2 linked regions of the Drosophila melanogaster genome follow. The protein of the gene in region 1 interacts with the protein of each later gene in a pairwise test. Each region holds a gene or a part of one and is shown on either strand. Other genes may lie near its edges. The genes, in order: Ttc1 and HLH3B.

Evidence for each region.
Region 2: the proteins of Ttc1 (region 1) and HLH3B interact in a two-hybrid assay, tested with the Drosophila melanogaster proteins (one large-scale study listed by BioGRID).

The regions. Positions count from the first base shown.
Region 1 is NT_033777.3:16,437,871-16,447,226, forward strand, and holds Ttc1 (tetratricopeptide repeat domain 1), read right to left. Parts: upstream 5,138-9,356; 5' UTR 5,048-5,137; coding exon 4,533-5,047; intron 4,479-4,532; coding exon 4,202-4,478; 3' UTR 3,973-4,201; downstream 1-3,972. Other genes in the region: ema (endosomal maturation defective), read right to left, coding at 1-129, 195-780, 842-1,303, 1,371-1,487, 1,743-2,533, 2,595-2,681, 2,738-2,880, 2,938-3,086 and 2 more; CG14882 (uncharacterized protein), read left to right, coding at 5,418-5,507, 5,558-6,832.
Region 2 is NC_004354.4:2,677,303-2,687,025, reverse strand, and holds HLH3B (helix loop helix protein 3B), read left to right. Parts: upstream 1-5,302; 5' UTR 5,303-5,367; coding exon 5,368-5,692; intron 5,693-5,789; coding exon 5,790-6,595; 3' UTR 6,596-6,827; downstream 6,828-9,723. Other genes in the region: CG2652 (uncharacterized protein), read left to right, coding at 4,202-4,909.

The sequences.
Region 1 (9,356 bases):
GAGGAGCTGTGGCTGCCCATGCTAACACTGGGCGATCGCTCCCGATCCGAGTGATCGGCCCTAAGATTCGAGCCCGAAGTTGAGCTGGGACTGCGGCGTCGGGAGCGGCCAGCGCTTTCATTTCTAATTCTGCGGGAAGACGCACAGATGAGGATGGAAATGAGGAACATGAGGACACACCGACGTGAACTTACCCTTCGATGGATCGATTCGGGGCCATCTGGGTTCGACTAACCCCAGCGCTATTGCTTCCACGCAGCACCGCTGCAAATCCCGGCACTCGATTGGCCGTGGAGAACATGGGACGGTGGTGACTACTGCGCGAACTGCTGCCACTGCTGTTACCACTTCCGCCGCTACTGGATGCGACCATTGTGCCACCAACAGCGTAGACGGGAGAGTCCATCTGTCCAGGAATCTCGATGAGTTGCGCAATCTGGTACATCTTCTTTTGTCGCGCCTTGCTACGACCCTTTGTCAACCTCTGCTTGGCAGCCATGCAACGGATGTGATCGTCGAACAGGAACTTAGCCGAGAGCAACGGAGTGCGGTTGTGAGTGACTCCGCCCCGGTGCACGGTGATGTGCAAGCAGCGCGAGTCATCCTTATCACCCTGCACCTCTACGTCCTGCAGAAAGCCAACGAACTTTGCCACGCCCCAGCCAAGCAGCTTTGCATCCGGCTCGACGAGAATTAGCTGCAATGCGTCAATGACCAGAAAGCGTCTTTGCTTGCTGCTGTCCTTGGCCACAACGGTGCAGGCTATTAGATCACTATTGTCTAGATGGATAATGGTTAGCCTTAATATATACATACATCATCGTAGGAGGAGTATACTTACTCAGATCGAGTACGTTCTCCACCTGAACCAGATTGACTACATTTGTAAGCGGCAATAGCGATTCCTTCTCATTCAAAAACTTTTGGCACGTGCGACGCAGCAGGAAGTAAACGCGAATGGCTCGGCGTGCCTTTTCCACCTCCCCGCAGGGAAGTCGTCGCGTAAAGTTGATTCCAGTAAGTGGCGTTCCCGTGGGAGGCAGTAGAATGGTGGAGTCCATGCACAGGAATTCCACGTTCAGTTGCGCCTTTCGCATCTCGTTGTATTCGTCTTCGAACAGGTCTAGGAAGATGTCCTCCGACTTGTAGAAGTTACGGATCACCACCATCGACTGATTGCGGGCGCTGAAGAGCAGATCCTGTTGTGCGGCGGTTATGCAGCGCGAATCATCCGAGCTGGGACGGGTGAAAGTGACCAGTAACTCCAAGGCAATCTCCACGGTAATCAACCGAATGCGGGACGCTTTAGGGAATTCAAATGGAATTATTAAAGAGCTAATGATAACCGGAGTTCGAACAGTTGTACATACATGGCTGACTGGACTGGGTGATGATGTTTAACAGATGCTCAATCAAGGCTGTCTTATAACTGAAGGCGCCACGGGTTGATTTTGCAAGAACCTGCTCGAACCACTCATTCTTGATGCCTATATGGAAAGGTACATAAAGATATTTATTAAGGAGACTATGATAGATGCATACGATTGATTAGTACGGGCAGTGGACGAGTTACATACCATCTGAACGGATTGGGACATGTACCAGAATGTGACATTTTCATTACACACAAAGAAAGCAATTAGAATGAAGCAAAAATGGGGTGATCAGAGCAATGGAAAGTTACACAACATTAGCCAAAAAAAACGTCAAATTGAGTTAAGGGAAATATCCATGAATATTACCTCTATTGTGCGACATAGCATATATGAGGCACAGCGACAGCAGGGCAAGGTAATCGTTTTCGGTGCAGTCCAAAGCATGCAGGACCGTGTCTAAAAACGGTTTGGCCATCTCAGCAAAGTCAGCCTTCGTTGAGGAAGATGACTTCTGCAGCAGCTGCTTTTCCTCGTCAGTTATGTTGCGCAGTTTAATCTGCTCCGCTTCAACCGCATCTGCTTGAGAGTCCAGTTCTGTGGTGGCTGGGGATGAGGACTCCACGCCACTGTCCTCGCTAAGGGCATAGCTGGACGAGCTGGACTGACCGGTGACTGTATCCAAGGCCTGTTCGAGACTCTCGTCGGGCTCGCCGAAGCCAGGCACAACCACCTCGCGGTGCTCAACGTATGAATTAAGAATCTCGGCTGCACCCTCCTTAAAAACGCTGTGGTCACCATTGAGGATAACCCAGGCCAGAGCGTGCACCAGAGGGGCATGCGAAACCACCAGGAAGACCAATGAGAGCAGGAAAAGGGCCACGATGGAGCTCACTCGCGGATTGTGCATCTCCTGTATGTCGATGTCCACATTGCGATTAAGCACAGCAGCTAGATTCTGGGTAACCACTGCCAGTGAGGGCGGGGGCGGAGCTGGTGTAAGTGAGAATATGTACAGAGGCACGAATAGCTTATGCAGCAAGTGCTCGGTTAACACCGCGTTCAGATCCTTGATTTCCAGTAGAAGAATGTCACTCAAATAATGCAAATGATCCAGATGCTCGGCAACCAAATTGGACAGCTTTTGATTCGATTGATGGCTGCGGATGAATTAAGAAATCAATACTATAAAACGAGGGACTATATTACAATAACTCTTACTCTATATCTGTGCGAACACAAGTGTCTAGTTCAAGAATGTGTTTGCCGATAAACCAGACCAGATTACTGAAATATGGAGCAGCCGTTCTAGGGAGAAAAAAATAGTTTAATGGAGCTCATGGGACTGAAGGCAAAGGTCGTACTTGTCTCGAATAAAACGCAACATGCTTGGATTTTGAACCTTGTAGACATTTAAGGAAATGGTGCGCACTGCAATTCTCACCATTGACTCGGGATGATTAAAGAACTTAATAGCCTCTGTATACAAGGGAAAGTCATTTGTGTGCTGTAAGGAATATGTCACATTAAATGGATGTAAATATGTGTTTTAGGCAATGCAAACCTCATTGTAAAAGAAGTGTATTGTGTGAGTGTTTAACTTTAGACTTAGCGTCTTTAAAAAAAGTATATAATAGCCCATCACATCCTCGTCGGAGAAGTCAAACTTGTGCACCATGATAGAATTTACATGGTTGTTGCTCAACAGATAATCTGCAACGTCATAGGAATGATTACGTCTACTGTATTATAGAAACTGTTGAAAATTGTACTTACACAGGGACGTCTCGTTGCGTATGTTCTCAAAGAGGATGTTGAGAGTCTGAAGGAGCTGCACGCAGACGAAACTCGAGCCTCCACTCTTTTGTCGCATTATGTGCAGGAAATACGATAGCATATTCTTCTCCAAGAAGAAGCTGTTGCAAATAATTAGATTAAGGTTTATTACATTGAGATGCTTAATACTCACTCAAACACCAGCGAGTCATGCTGGTCGCCCCAAATCAGGATCTCTGCGATGCAGCGCAGCGACTCCACCAGCAGGCCACGATTACTTTCCGACACGGTGGTGTTCTTCTCCAGAATGCTGTACAGGTACTTAAGGTGCTCCAGCGACAAGCGGTTTTTGGGCCGCCCACCCCAGGGTCCGCCAAACCAGCTGCGACTCCGGAACATGTTGGCAACTAGGATGGAATCAACTGGCCACGATCCGCCTGACTGCTCTCATATCAGGGTAAGGAGGAGTGCGGGAGCGCTGTTCTCTTGGATCTTTGCATGCACTACTGCTCACGGTCACGCCACTGGGTTGGCCCACAATAAGGGGGCACCTAATGCCTGCGATTGCACGAATCTAATATTGTAATTTGCGAATGGCGATTTTTTCCAACAAATTGCTCTTCTTCTTCACGGGGAACACAAGTGTCACAGTCAGCTGTTGCTTCCGCCCATATTTATGGTTATCGGTATCGAAGTAACAGAGATGACAAGTGGCTATTTTGTTGTGATTGCATGAGAACTGCGACTGGTTCACGACTTTTAAAAACCTCTCAAAAGAACCGTTTGAATTTTGTAAAACCAGACAGTAAAATTTGGAACAAACCTCATATATTAATAGCATATCACACCATGCATTTTACATTAAATATAATTAATGGATTTTTTTGGTACCGTTTGTTATGAAAATGGGTTCACATTTGCATATTCTACAGAGGTGAAAATGTACGAGAACTGAATTTGATACGTTTTGCTACAGTTTGACTATTATTTTACACATCATCCACGAATACGGCTTTATTTGTTGATCTGCAGAGCATTAGCTAGCTAGGTTTTTATTTAAAGTTGATGGAATACGAGCCCGTGTTGGGATCCTGTTGCATTTGGAAATTCTGTGTAGACAGTCCGAACGGTTTGAGTATCATGTTGCCCAGGTCCTTTAAGCTGGACATCATCTCGTTTTTGAGCTTCTCGTTGCGCTCGTTTATAATTGGCGGCAGCCGAATCTGAGCCTCGCGAGCCTCCTGCTGACCGGGATCGATCTCAGTAACTTTTTTGTAGTCCTCCAGAGCCTCGTCGGGCTTGTCTTCTTGCTCATAGAGCTTGGCGCGCCTGTAAGATGTAATTAGACTTTAGAAATTTTAAGGGAGATATTAAAATAAAGACCTTAAAAGCACCCTCACATACTCCGGCCACAGTTCTATAGCCTTTGTGCAGTCGTCGATGGCCGCTTTGTTGGCCTCCAGCTTAATCTTGGCAGCAGCCCTGTTTCCGTAGAGAACTGCTCGCTCCTTGGAGCTGGCCGAGGGGCAAATGTCTAAGGCTTCTGTGTAGGTCTTGGCGGCGCCTTCGGCGTCGTCATTTTTGAACAACTCGTTGCCCTCAACTTTCAGCTTATCGGCCTTTTCTTTGTTAGCTGTCAGCTGCTCTGGGCTGAGATCCTTCTCCCGTTCGCGCAACTCCTCAATGGTTAGCTCAGAGTCCACTGTCGTTGGTGTCGCGATGGAATCTCCACCAGCCGCGCCCTGTTCCGCTTCGTCATCCAACGCCAGCTGGTTTTGCTTCTCCACGATCTCATCCACGTCCTTTTCGCTCTGCCGCGTGCTGGTGGCCTCTTTTTCGGTTATCTCCTCCCCGATCGCATCATGGAATTCGTCGTCACTGTTGGCGTTGCCTGCCATTCTTTTTAAAATTGATCCTTACCGAATTTACTGGAGATTTCGGTTTGTTGTTCAGCAACAAATAAAGCTCCTCATGCTAACGATAACTGTGCATATCGATAACACCGATGTCGTACAGTGTTGACAAAGGTAGGTTTCTGATTAGGTACCTTCCCAAGCTAAGAAATGTTAGGTACAGATAATTTTTAAAACAAATAATTTAAGGATAATCCTTAATGTTGTATTTGGCAAAGATGAAGACCAATTTAAAATAAACATTTAATCTTTTACAGCTTCCCTTGATAAGGGAAGCTGTAAATAAACTCTTTCCAACACTACCGCTTGTTAACGATTTGACTGCTGCCCATGCGAATTGGTAAATACGGGAAAAATGGACTTAGGAGCTTATAAATTGAGTGAATACATCCCCGCCAAGCCGCTGGTCGGTAATCTGGAGTTGTGTTTCACGGACGAAGAGCAGGTGAGTTAGGAGCTACCGTGAGAATAGCCTTTTCAAGCCTATCTTTGTAGAGACCCACCGAAACATGCGGCCAACTTAAATGCTGCGATATTTTAAAGTTCCCATTCGCCCGCCCTGATTTCCAGCCAAGTTCAGTGGAGATAAAGGAGAGCAAGGTGCTCGTGTCTGCTGATAAGGCTACAGAGACAAAACGCGTGGTGGAGCTGACTCTGGAGTCCACGTTCGATTACCAGCCCGGGGATACCATTGGAATTTTGCCTGCTAATAAACTCGAACAAGTGGAAAGTCTGCTCCATCGGCTGGAACTGTTAGACCAGGCCGACACCACTTGCCACTTAAAGTTGGTGTTCAACTGCGCCAATAAGAATGCTAAGCTACCCGCCCACATTCCAGCAACTACTACTCCCCGGGAGATCCTTACCCACTGCCTCTCCCTTAATTTTGTTCCGCAGAAGCAGCTCCTCAGCGCCCTGGCCGGATTTACAAGCGATGACAAAGAGCGTTGTTTCCTGTCCTGTCTGTCCTCTAAACAGGCCACCGAGTACTACCAATCGCTGATATTAGAGCAAGGCCTGCTTTTCATAGACATTCTTGAAGTGTGCGTCAACTGCAGGCCACCACTGGCATTCCTGGCAGAGCACTTGCCACGGCTGCTGCCGCGACCGTACTCCATTGCCAACAGTCCCTTGGAGGCTAGTAATCGCGAACTTCGCGTTATCTACTCGCTGCTCAGCCTCAAACCTGGAGTCACAACCAGCATGTTGGAGGCGGCTGCACAGCAAAGCAGTCCGGAGCATTCCAAAAAAGTAGTTATCTACCCACGAATGAGCAACCTATTCCGTTACACAGAGCGGGATGTGGGCAGAAACCAAATACTTATTGCTGTTGGCACAGGTCTGGCGCCTTTTCTTGGATTCTTAGCCCACAAGGAAGAGCTTATAAAACAGCAGCCGCAACAGCCAAGCGGGCAATCCTGGCTCTACATTGGTGCCAAGACCCCAGAAGCAGTTCTTAAGCGTGAAAAACTAATGGAGTGGCAGGAATCTTCGTTGCTCGAGCGCCTACGGATGTGTTACTCGCGAGGCGAATCCCCCAGCTACGTGCAACATATGTTGGAGGAGGACTGTGAGGATCTGGTCGAGTTCCTGATGAAGTCAGAGACTGTGTTGTACATTTGTGCCGATGGCGCCAAGATTTCGCAGTCCATTGCAGGTGTTTTAAGTCGTTGCTTGCAGAAGGCTATGCATCTCACTGAAGAAGAAGCTTCGCAGCTGTTAAAAAAACTGAGGAAGCAGGACAAATACCGCGAGGATGTTTGGCTGTAATGGACAAGTCTTAGGTGCAGTCAAAATAAAAGCTTCATTAATTAAGCCCTATAAATAAATACCTTAATATATTAGTCGTTTGTAACTCTTACAGAAAATTTGAATTTTTAGTGTGTTTGTTGTTTTTACGTACGGTTAAGGTCGTTTATTTTCATAATTGAAAATAAGTGTAGCAAAGGAACCACTTCCACTGCTCATTTGAGTAGCTAATGTATGCAAGTATTTGCACTCAGATGTTTGTAAATCAATTGCTATTATTTTAACTGCAGCCTCAATGTAAATAATTATAAAACAGAAAGCTTTGGTCGAATAAGTAAATAACGATATATTTAACAACACAAAATAAAAATTACAGTGCAAGGTAAACTAAATACATACAATTGTGAGGGCCATCTTCAATGATCGAAGTGGATGGGGACGACTACGTGTACTAAATGGATTTGGGTCTGTGTATAAAATTGACTTAAGTGGTAAATTGCAAAATATATCTAAATAATGGTAGAATATAGATTACGACTTAGGTTTCAAGCAAATTAAACGTGCACACATAAAACATAAAACGTATAGTAGGGTTTGCTCTTTGAATTTAACCGATTGGTAAAGCGCTAATGTATCGTTATTGTTTCTCCGCTTCTCTAAATATCTAGATCTTTTTATTTATTATACTGTTTACGTTTATTTTGGCAAGTCGTTTTGACCTTGCACAATAATATGCATTTTGTATTTTATCTACGTTTAAGTTTAATTGAAATAGAGCCAATTCTTTTAGTGTATACTAATATAATTACGAATCGATCAAAATTGATGTCAGCTTCTTCTTTCTCCTATTCGTCCCTTTACATTTGCAATAAAAGTTGCGTATAAAAAATTATGCTACTTTATGTTGTTCTTTGTTTGGTTTCAAGACTTAAGTTCCATTTTACATTTACGTTTTTAATTGCAAATTTTGCGTTCGTCTTAAATGCGTTTGCGAATATGTAATGTCGGGTATGTTTCGGTTTCCAAAAAGGCAATCTAACCCCGTTTCTACTGCCCCAAAATACTATCCGTTCGTTGCCTTGCCTAATACTCATTTAAGCTAAACTAAGAAAATCAAGTATATTTTCGATTAATAATTAAGCTCTTTAAAAATTATGAATGCATAATTGTAGGCCAAATATTGGGATTTCATTTCGTATATAAAATTTAACTATGAACCGATCTGCAGCAGCAGCAATCCATTTTCCCTATTAATATCAAAATTGCAAGTAAAATATAATCCCTATCGGTAAGTGTATATATAACAGATAAAAAAGCTAACACCGGCTGGCGAAAGATCCTTGAATGCACTCCTTTTTTCATTCGCCTTCGTTGTGTTTTCGTAAAATATCTGTAGTCTGGCGACTAGCCCACAGATATACTTTTCGAATAGAACTTGTGGTGGTGGGAAATAGCATAAAATATCGAACTGAGAGGATAATGGAAAAATAGGTAGTTTAAACCTTCTTCAATATATTCTCTTCGGCAATTGGCATTGCTTATGATTCCCGTTGGGAGTAGGTTTAGTGTACGTATACCACTTCTATATGATCTATATAGTCTTTCTAGGGACAATATTTCAATATTTCACTTTAGCTTTGACACACACATTACGGCGTTAAATAACATCTCTATTGTGATAGGGGCTTGTATAGAATTACAATTTTCTTTGTGCGTATGGCAAATATCTCCAAGGAAGGAACAAGGGAATCTACTTTAATCTGTTCTTTTGTGGCGTTTGGTTAGTCTTACGTTTGTACTAATTAAAATGGAATATCGAACATTTATCCCTCAATCCCGTCCACACTGCGAATATCAGCTAATATACATACAAGCTCTGTCTAGCTGGCTCTAATTAGTTATCTGTTGCATCGATATCTGTATTCTATGGGAAATGCATAAATTGTGGAGATAATCTTGCTGTGTGTCGCTTGCTGCTGCTAGCTCTAGTCCTAATGGCACTTGTTACACTCATTTCGACTTGCTATATCTATCGCCTTCGTTTTGTTTTGATTTTTTTTTTTTGTTTTTTGGTAATGTACAACAAGTATTGCATGTTCTCTGTTAGGGTTCGTTTGCACTTACTGACTACGACGAATTTTATAAAGAGTCGCATAATGCTGATTTGATAAAATCGCTTAAATCACAATTATGTATATATACGGGTATATAAAGAGTAATCAAACTTATGTCCCTACATTTAATAATACAGTATCTATGTATATCATATGTGCGTGTTTGTGTGCGTTGTTGAAGTAAGCTAATTTGCCATAGGACAATCTAATCTAAGCGATAACCCCGCCCCCCTGCCATCGATGAACTGCTCGAGCGATGCGATATGGATCCACGGTTTGGCGACGGTTTCCTTCGAGTTTTTCGGCCCCTGCTCATCTCTCTGTCCTCGCTGACTCGTGCTGCAAAAAGAAGAGATAAAATCCTATGATTACTTATTGTTGTTAGGTATTCAGCTCGGTTTACTGCACTACAGAAGAGCAAAGGGGCAAAC
Region 2 (9,723 bases), on another chromosome or scaffold:
GTTTCCATTAAAAGCAAAGATAACCAAATGGGCCAAGTAAACAAGCTGATAGTTGTTTCGACGGCCCAGAATTCAAGAAGAAAGAATTCCAAAGAAGGTGAAAAATTCCATTGGATAATACCATTTTTTTGCCCAACAAACTGGCTTCCAACCGACTGCTCAATCTGCCCAAATCCTTCAGTTTATACCCACCAAGGATTGTGTAACTCGCTGGTTAACCCAGTTCGCATCCCATATGTGGGTGAACTTTGACGCAGCAAAGCAAGAAGGCCAACTGGTCGAATCGAATCCGCCGCGATGCCTCTGGATTGCTGGATTACATTGGTCGTGCGTCATTCCGAGGATGTTAGATAATGCAGCACAGGAAGCGCGACAGACATGGATAACAGTCGCATAACCCGGGGGCAAGACATACTGGGAAAGACTGTGGGAAAATTCGGGGCACGAATGGGAACGTTGAGCTATTAATGGTGGTACTCTGTTTAGCTTGTGTAACGCGACTGCGACTGCGGCTATCCAAATCGTAGGGGTTTTAATAGACATTCCAAATTTGCCAGAAATTACTGCGCCCACGTGGCGTGTGTGCAGCAAATAAGCTGAAAATACCAAGGTGCAATGCCCAAAAGGGAACACGCTGCGTATGCGCAATATGCTCTGACCCAGATTGGATGCCGGGCATCGATTAGAGCTATGTAGCTACATATATGAATGAGTTCACTTCACGTAGGCGCAGTGTGCTGCAGTACTGCACTCCAGGTGACCGGAAGGCAAGCGGCTGCAGTGGTGCACCACGTTGCGTATGCGTATTCTGCGGCCAGAGTATGTTTGTTTGGCACTGCAAGGAAGGAAGTGGTGGGGCATTCCCGGAGCATTGTTCGGTAGGGTCAGGTATTTTGATGTGGGCTTTTGTTTACGCTTTGCTCGGTGTGCAACGTGCACTTATTAATAAACACTATATGTACATATGTGTAAGTGCGCCATTGGACGTTATGAACCGAGTTATTTATGTAAGCTGCCTGCCCAATGCGTTGTTTTGTATTGGCAATATGATAATGGTCTATCTAGCGCCTCTTGCTGAGATTTTTCTTTGCAGCTTTATTGCAACAACGTGACAATTGCACTTACACACTCGCTCTCGCTCTCACCCAGCTGCACTTTTTTGCGATTAGGCTGCGATTAGGCTGCTGCTGCCTTCTGTTTGGAATCTCACTTATGGTCTCACTTTTTGGCTGTGGCTATATGTCACTCAGCTCGATACACTTGACACTAACACTGGCACCAAAGAATAACGGTTTGTTTCTGGTCGAAATTAAAAAAAAAAAAACGAAGCTGTTTGTTTGCGTGATTCGACAGGTCGTTGTTGCGATTTATTTGGTATATGGCAATACTTTCTACTGTGCGACGAACGCGTTGTCGACCTTCTGGCTCTAAATTCGCACGAACACTAGTGCTCGCATCGCAAGCTCCGGTGTATAAGCCCCCGTGCACTCGCATTCCCAGAATTTTCTCACACTCACTCGCTGCTCTCCGCCGTCGCTGAGAATCGCTGGGAATCGCAGTCGCTCGGGAAATCGCTGGTCGGCTGAGATACTCGGACCCAAACATTAACCCTTGGGCGAAGCTTTTGCGCGAACAACAAAAGCAAGTAATTGGAATGCCAAAGACTCCCTTTTCCATAGCAAGAAACCCCATTTATAGATTGCTATAATGTTGGATATCTTTCTTTTTCATAGCTTCTATTGAATACTAGTTTCTTTTGGTTTTTATCTATGCTGTGGGATACGTTACATGGCACTGCCGATGCCAAGTGTCAATCCAAGCCCCACGCACCAACTGCAGGTTAAGGAAAGCTATGGAATCCCCTGCCTTTTTGGGGCTGCCTGGTGGGCGGCTGGCAGCACGTTTTCCGAGGGGTGTTTTCCGGGGAGCCGGCTGGGCGGCGGATTTGCTGGCCAAGTCACGCAGTTCGCCACGTGAGCGGCGGCTTTTCACTGCCTACGGCTTTCTCGGACGCTTTTTGCACTCGGACCCGTCCCTGCCCCACCATGAATTGTGCGAACTCGCACTGGCACTGGCATTTCGCAACGGCATTACTCACCCACCCACCTGGTCATCGTCCAAGTGCGGCCAGCAGTGCACCAGAGCGCCAGTCCGCAGTCAACGCAGTGCATCGGTCTAGCAGCTCGGCTCTCTAGCACGGATGAAAAGTTGAAAGTGGCGCCAAGCTTTTGGGGGCTTCTGTTTCCCGTTTGTCCCGTGGAAGCTCTACCTGGGCAGGTGTGCGCGGCGTGCGCTGAAACACGTACGGAGTGGGATGATAGCGACAGCTGATTTTCCCTGGCTTTTCCGCCTCCGCCCAGCTGGCTGTTGCGCGCTGTGGCCCACAGGTGGCGTTACACATACCTGCCAGCAGGGGATTCCCCGTCTTTCCACGAGGGGTTGATGAACTCCGAGCGGTCGAGTGGTTCGGTTCGATGCTGATACTACTGCTATGCAGTTACAAATGATTATTACTTGCAATTTCTGTGCATTGAATTTGGCTTTTAGTCTTCGCAATTGAAGGGTTAAAAGTTGAGGCATCTGATAAATAGGAAATGATTTTAGCTACCCCCTCATAAAAGCATATTTTTATGGACCCCACAACTTCTTTTTTTTTCGGAGCATTTTTTATTATCCTAATCCGATCGAAGTGCCCAAGGATGTCTTTATGCCTTATCAGCCGTCCCATCGGCCTGCGGTGGCTTTGAATAATTGAATTCTATTAATTGGCGGCTTTGCCGACGTCGAGTGGGTGTGAAAATCCATTTGACCCGGCACCCACTCCACACGCAGCTCCTTTGTGGCCACGTGTGTGGTGTTTGCCCAAGCTAGCCGGAGTTTGCTGGCATTTGCTGGGGCTCGCTCTTATCTATCGCGGCCACACACGTGCCACAAAGTCACAGACGCCTGCCCGAAAATGATAAAGTGCGTTCGAATTAGCCACCAAACTGCTGCTAATTTGATTTTGATGCTGCGACTGTTGACTTGCCGCACTTCGCCACTCCCCGTCGCGTTTTGATGTGCTGTGATTTCATTTGATTGCCGCTAATCGGATTCCGGGTGGTGATTTCGGGTGAGTGTCGGTCGGACTGTGAGCGGGATTAGAGCCGAGTTCCCAAGGCCCACCCTTTCAACGTCCAAGTGGCGTAGGTCCGAGGACCTGTGGACCCATGAATATGGATTGCGATTAGAGGATGGACGTAGCACATCAGGTGGCATTACTGGCACCACAATTCCGTCCCAGCGTTGAACTGTAAGCACAAACGGAGATACAAGCTCAAGTGAAATTACTTCAGCACTTGACTACTTTCTGATGAGATAGATGTCTGTAAAAAAATTATATCAATGTAATGAACAGTTTAAATTAATATCAGAAATATAGTGTCATATTCTCCAAACTAGGTTTCCTTGGGAAGTCTCGTTTAGAGCTGCTCGGTTGGCAACTTATGAAGGAATATAACAGATACGGGGCTCAGATCAGGTGGACTTGAAGCAGACCTTTAAACGAAGTCCTTGGCCTTGGAGCACCTACAGATTGCACTGAATGGTCTCGCTATCCTCAAAATGTCCACATTAGAATTCAGCTGCCCCGCTGAACTGAAGTAACGTCGCTGTGCCCGGAATATTCCCGGCCAAGTAAATGCCCGGGCCGCACCAACCCCAAATTCCTCTGACTTAGCACTTAACTCCGCCCTTCGGAGTCTGCGCATTGCGTACTCCCAAGTCCGCTAACTCTTCCCTAGTCCACCAACAAATTCTGCGTTAATTAATTAGAAAAAATCACAGTTTAAGGCGTGAAAAAATCGGAGATGGCCCGTTGTAGGACGACGAAGGCGTTGAAATTTCAACGCCTTTCGCGAAACTTTTGAAGAACCTTAATCCCAAGTTGGGATTAACATCTGCTTCGAGGGGGAAAACAAGGTAGCAGACATGCAACGGTTATTAGGTAGTATGATAAAATCTATAAAAAATTATATGTACATTAGTTATTACTTTAGTTAAATGCATATCTAGTGGGCTTCTGTTTTTGCTGTCGCTCTCGATTTGAAAAAGCATCACACCAAGCAAACAAGTTAAAGTTGCCTTCAAATTTTCGTAGAAAAATTTTTAGTTAAACATAAATTGAAATTAGTTTTTTTTTTTTTTTTTTTTTTGAATCGTGATGAGCTACACAAATCTCCTGCGCCATCAGAATGTGGTCGATGACTGCCAGCGGGTGAGCTGCAACCGCACTCCGCCGATCACTGTCACCGGGCGCTGTGTGATCAGTCGGGACATCGTGATCGGCTGCCGCATGGAACAGTGCGATCCGGACATGCCCTACATGCTGGAGCCGACGTGGGGCGTCTACCTGCGCCCAGGTCGCGATGGCGGCGACCTGTCGCGGTTCGTGCGGCGCGTCACCTTCAAGATGTCGCCGCGCCTGCCGCTGCGACTGCACGTGGCGGACAGCGCTCCGTTTGAGATTGGCGAGGTACTGGGCAGCGACTTTCCCGTGGAGGTGCAGGTGCAGTATATGGATGCCCGCATGTCGGCCACCTCGTACATCTTCCGGCCGCGCGTGGTGCGCGAGGGTCACGCCGGTATTTGCGAGGAGATGCTCGACAAGATGATATTCGTCAATCCCTCGCCCATGATGAGACAGAATCTAACGCCCGTGCTTGTGCCCAGTGCAAATGGTGCGCCCGGGGACAGGACATCGCCCCAGTTTGCAATGGAGTCCGCCATGCCGGAGACACCGGGTGAGCGAAAGGAACAGGACCGGGATCGGGAGCAGGTGGGCGATGTGGCGCGACCCTCGCAGCCGCCGGCAAAGCAGCCCAAGAAGCGTCTAAGTGTGGGCATACCCCATCCCATCGGTCATCAGTAGTCGTGTATAGATACATTGGGCTCTATGAAAGGAACAACTGAGAATGTTTGTTGTCCTGGCATGTGCAGTTACTGGATTGGCATTGGATACGTTTAAATTACTAAATAAATTATGAATTTCATTTACTTCTAAGACAGCTGCTTATGCTAATATATATTATAGTTTGCTCATACTCGTTTTATGTTTTGGTATCTAATCTAATCAAAAAGTAACAGGCTCGGTAAGAAGTCAGCCCAACATTGGTAACCCAAACGTACATACATATGTATGTACGAGTACGCCCATTTTGTGTGTATGCCTCGTCCGGGGGTGGATGCTGCGCCATTGGCCCCGCCCTCTGTCCATAGGGGGTTGGTTCCCAGACACACAGTGCCAGTTACCCAGTCAGTTGCTCACTTTGCTGCTGCGCTTCGAACGCAACAGAACGCACGTATCCTCTGCTCCGGCGAATCGGAGAGATGGCCTGGCTACCGAGCAGCTCGAACGGAGCGGATAACGCGGACGAACGGAGCACCGCCTCGAGCGGATCCTCCGGCCACAGCCAGACCAACGAGTCACCGCGATCCGGGCACCTGAACGGTAATGGTAGCATGCGGGACACTGCCGCTGGCAGGCATCCGCCCGCCCTGCTCCGACATGCCACGCCCCACCTGCAGCCCAAGACGGAGTCCATATCCGATGGAGACGGTGACGCGGAGCTTTCCGACTTCTCGCTCAACGACACGGAGGAGGACGAGGAGGATCTTCGCGATTACATCGTTCTGAATGGCAACCAGGCGGATGGTGAGGCTTAGTCTTTAAAACTTTAGAGCTCCTAGAACATCCCGTAGTTCCCAATTTCTTATATACATAACGCTCGATTCCTTTGTTCCGCCCGCAGCGAATCGCTCACTGTCCAGTTCGCCGCGCAGTCACTCCCGCAACGGACTGCTGACCGCGCCGGCCAGCTCCGGAAGCTCAGTCGGCGGTAGCGGCGGTGGTGGAGGCAATGGCTCCGGCGGCAATGCATCCAGTGGCGGCGGCAGCGGCGTAGGAGCCACCGGCGGTGTGCGCAAGGTGTTCACCAACACAAGGGAGCGATGGCGCCAGCAGAACGTGTCCGGTGCCTTTGCAGAGCTGCGCAAGCTGGTGCCCACACATCCGCCGGACAAGAAGCTATCGAAGAACGAGATCCTGCGCTCGGCCATTAAGTACATTAAGCTGCTGACGGGCATCCTCGAGTGGCAGCAGCGGCAGGCGCCCTCGCATCCGATCAGGGCTCAAATGGAGCCGAACAACAACGACAATAGGATGGCCAATGGCCATGCGGCGGACGGGGAGAATCTGGAGAATCCAGATGTTCCGCCTGTACGGCACATCAAGTGTGAACGCACCGACGGGCAGATGCACAGGAATGGCATTGGGCACGGACATGCCAACGGAAACGCTGGCAACGACCTGCTGATGATTGCCCCGGGAGCCGTTGTCAAAAGCGAGCTTCTCCTGGAGTCTACACTCCCACTTGGGCATCCGTTAAACGGCCCACCCCTGCCGTTGACCACTGCTCCGCTGGCCATGGCCGAGACTCAGCGAATCAGTGGCACCGTATCCGGTGTAAAATCGGCCAGCGGACGGAGTAGCAAGCGACGCCTCAAGCCGGAAGGCGGAGCCACCGATCTCAGTCTGGGCAAACGGCGCAGGACGTAGAATAAGGAATCTAATGGATGGAATCTTGGAAAAAGTGGATACCGGCTTTGCCAAAGCATTCGGAGATAGTATACTATCCCCGATTTGCTATTTTTTTTATCTACCAATAAATTACAAAGTTAATAGTGCAAATTGCAGATGCAGAATCAATAGTTATAGTTTGTATTGTTTATTCAAATTTCATTCTAAATAATTTACGGTTTAAAATAAAAAGCAAATTCGACAAATCATTAAAAAAAAAAACTTGCAACTGTGAATTGAATTTCCAATCGAACGAAATCAGTAAGCAAGTAACATAAATCATAAAATTAGGATGGTGAGCCAATCTAAAAAAAAAACATCTAAAATCCAAAAATCTAATAAATTTGCCACAAATTGTGTAATTATACTAATTTTTTTTTTATAGCAATAAAAATAGTTGTCAAAAAGTGGAATGTCATACCTCGTTGAATTCGTAACAAAATTCCCTATCGACCTGTATTGAAAATTGGAATTTCGAAAATTTTGCAATTTTTCGCAAATTTTAATGATGGTACCCCTTACCGAAAATCTGAAAAGTGAAAAAAAAATTTTTTTCCCAGGATCGTTTAAATAGTGATAGTAATAGTTAGCTATGACTATTAAACATGTTTTGGAGAAAATCGAGTTTGTAAATATTCGATTTTTGACGAACTGGAATTCCAGAAGTTGACACCTTCTACTGATTATGGTGGCCTGGTGTTGAGAATCAAGAAAGCCACAAATATTTTTTATTTTTGCACGGTAAGTTGAAAATTATCGGTTTTCAAGCTACAACCAGACATTTGTAAATATACTTTCTCAGCCCAAAAGTATACTACATTTTGCCACCGAAATGAATAAATACGCATTTCTATATATATTTTTGTTTGTAATTTTTATTGTTTTTAAATTAATGTTTTCTTTACGCATTTGTCTCGTGTTCATTTTCATTTCCTCTTCGAATTTGGGGGTTTCCTGTTGTTATTGTTTAGTTTAGTTTTGTGTTTATTTGTTAATTAAGTTAATGTTTGGTTTGAATTTCTCATGAGGTTGTTGCCTCATAATTAAAGCGAAACGCTGAAGTTGTTCATCATATATAAGTTGGTTTTTTCTATGCATATATATGTTTGAATATATATTGATTTGGGCTGTCATTTTTCATCTGTTGACATTTTCAAATACAAATAAACGGTGTGTGTGTGTGTGTGGGTGTGTTTAAAGATTTATATAACTTGTCTGCTGTTTACTTAGATTATTACTAAAATGTTTGGGTCTTAGTTTGGAAATCTTCGGTTTCTTTTTCTTTCTAATTTATTTGAAATTATAGACGTATGTGCGTGTGAGTATGTCTGAATGCTCGAATGTGTTCTTGTGTGGGTGTGTGTACATATATGTATATAGTTAAATTTAATTAGTTTTGATGCCACAAAACTCAACGTTCATTAATTGTATAAATGTATCATTTAGTTAGTAAAAAAAAAAAATATGTTCTCGTACAATATATAAGGATTTCTATGGAAATACATACAAATAGACTTGGTTTTGCTTTTGCTTTTGCCCTTTGCCCTTTGCCTTTTTGCCTTTTTGCTATCATTTTCGCTTTGCTTACTTAGTGGTTTGTAAATGGGTTAAAGTGCTGGGACATACATAATCGCAGACATAAATTTTTAAAACGAGATCTAAGCAGTTTAACTGGGGTGGTTGTCATAGGTATATATAGTAGATAGATTGGAACCAATACTATAGTTGCGCAGAAGTTTTCGGTTGATCGATCTAAGGCCTTACGTACTAAAACCATCATCGGTTTCATTGTATTTTACTTCAATTTGTATTAAATTAGTTTAAATTTTCAATTGCAGCTAAATGTCCTTTTGTCGATTACTTTTACATATATCAAGATTGTGGCTCCACTATCATCTCATTATCTCATTATTTGCATTGTTTTTTGTTTTTTTTTAAGTTAATGGGTGGCGTCGCGCGCTAAAAGCGATTTACTCATTCATACATTCACTTACTTGTTGCTCAATTTGTTATATTTCTTGTATTTATGTATAGTGTGTTTAGTGTATATTGCATTTTGACGATCGCTTTCTTAGATAATCGTACATGCTATACGTTACTTAAGAACAGGCCACGGAAAATGTTGCTATGCGTGGAAAGTTGCTTTTCTTTCTTTTTTTTTTCACGTTATTTGGGGAGTTTCCGGTTCAAGGATTGGAAAGGGGGGTGAGTGGTTCCGGGGGTTGCTACTGAGATTACTACTCTTGTTAATATCTCGTATATATATATATATATGTATATATATATATATATATATATATATATATCTATGTTTATATAATATCTATATCGTATTTATATAGATGCACTTGCGCGAGTTTAGTTTATGTTGTATCCGCCCTTTTGCTAGTTCCTCTTACTTGCCGCCTTTAATTGTTTACTTTTACTATGGATTGCTAACTGCTGTGATCGTTATATATATTTGTATAACCGCGCATATATATAAACGTTAAATGGGCAAAAATTTTGATTTATTTCACTAAGTATTTCATTCAAGTTGCTTCTGCTTTTTGTTTTTTTTTTTGACTTAATTTATATTACGTTCCGCGATCTGGTTGTTAAGTGTTATTTACTATATTGAAGGTTTGGGACGCGGGCGAGGGGTTTTCCGATTATTTCTCAACATTCCTTCGGGGATTTCTCTTTCTCTTTAATAGTACAGATAATTATTTTAATTATTTATGCATAGTTTAAAGTGGATTTTTGGTTTTATTTCGATTTTATGCTAAATATTTGCTTGCGCCCAATGCATATAGCTAGATATACATACATACATGTGTGTGTGTGTGTGTTTGTGTTAGTGTGTGTGTGTGTGTGTGGATGGGTTTATTGTTGTGTGGGGGTGTAAGGATACTGGGCGTTTTGTGTAGTGAATTCCTTTGTCTCATTTCATTTACTCATAGCTTCTGCTGGGACATCCGACATCTCTTTCATATTTCGAGTGTAGCTGCGTGTGTGTATGTGTGTGTGTGGTGTGTGGTGTTGTCATCTCGCTCTTGGCCGACATGGGTTAACTGAATCCCCGGGCCGAGCGAAAAACCTGCTAATAACATTACATTTAAAGAGCT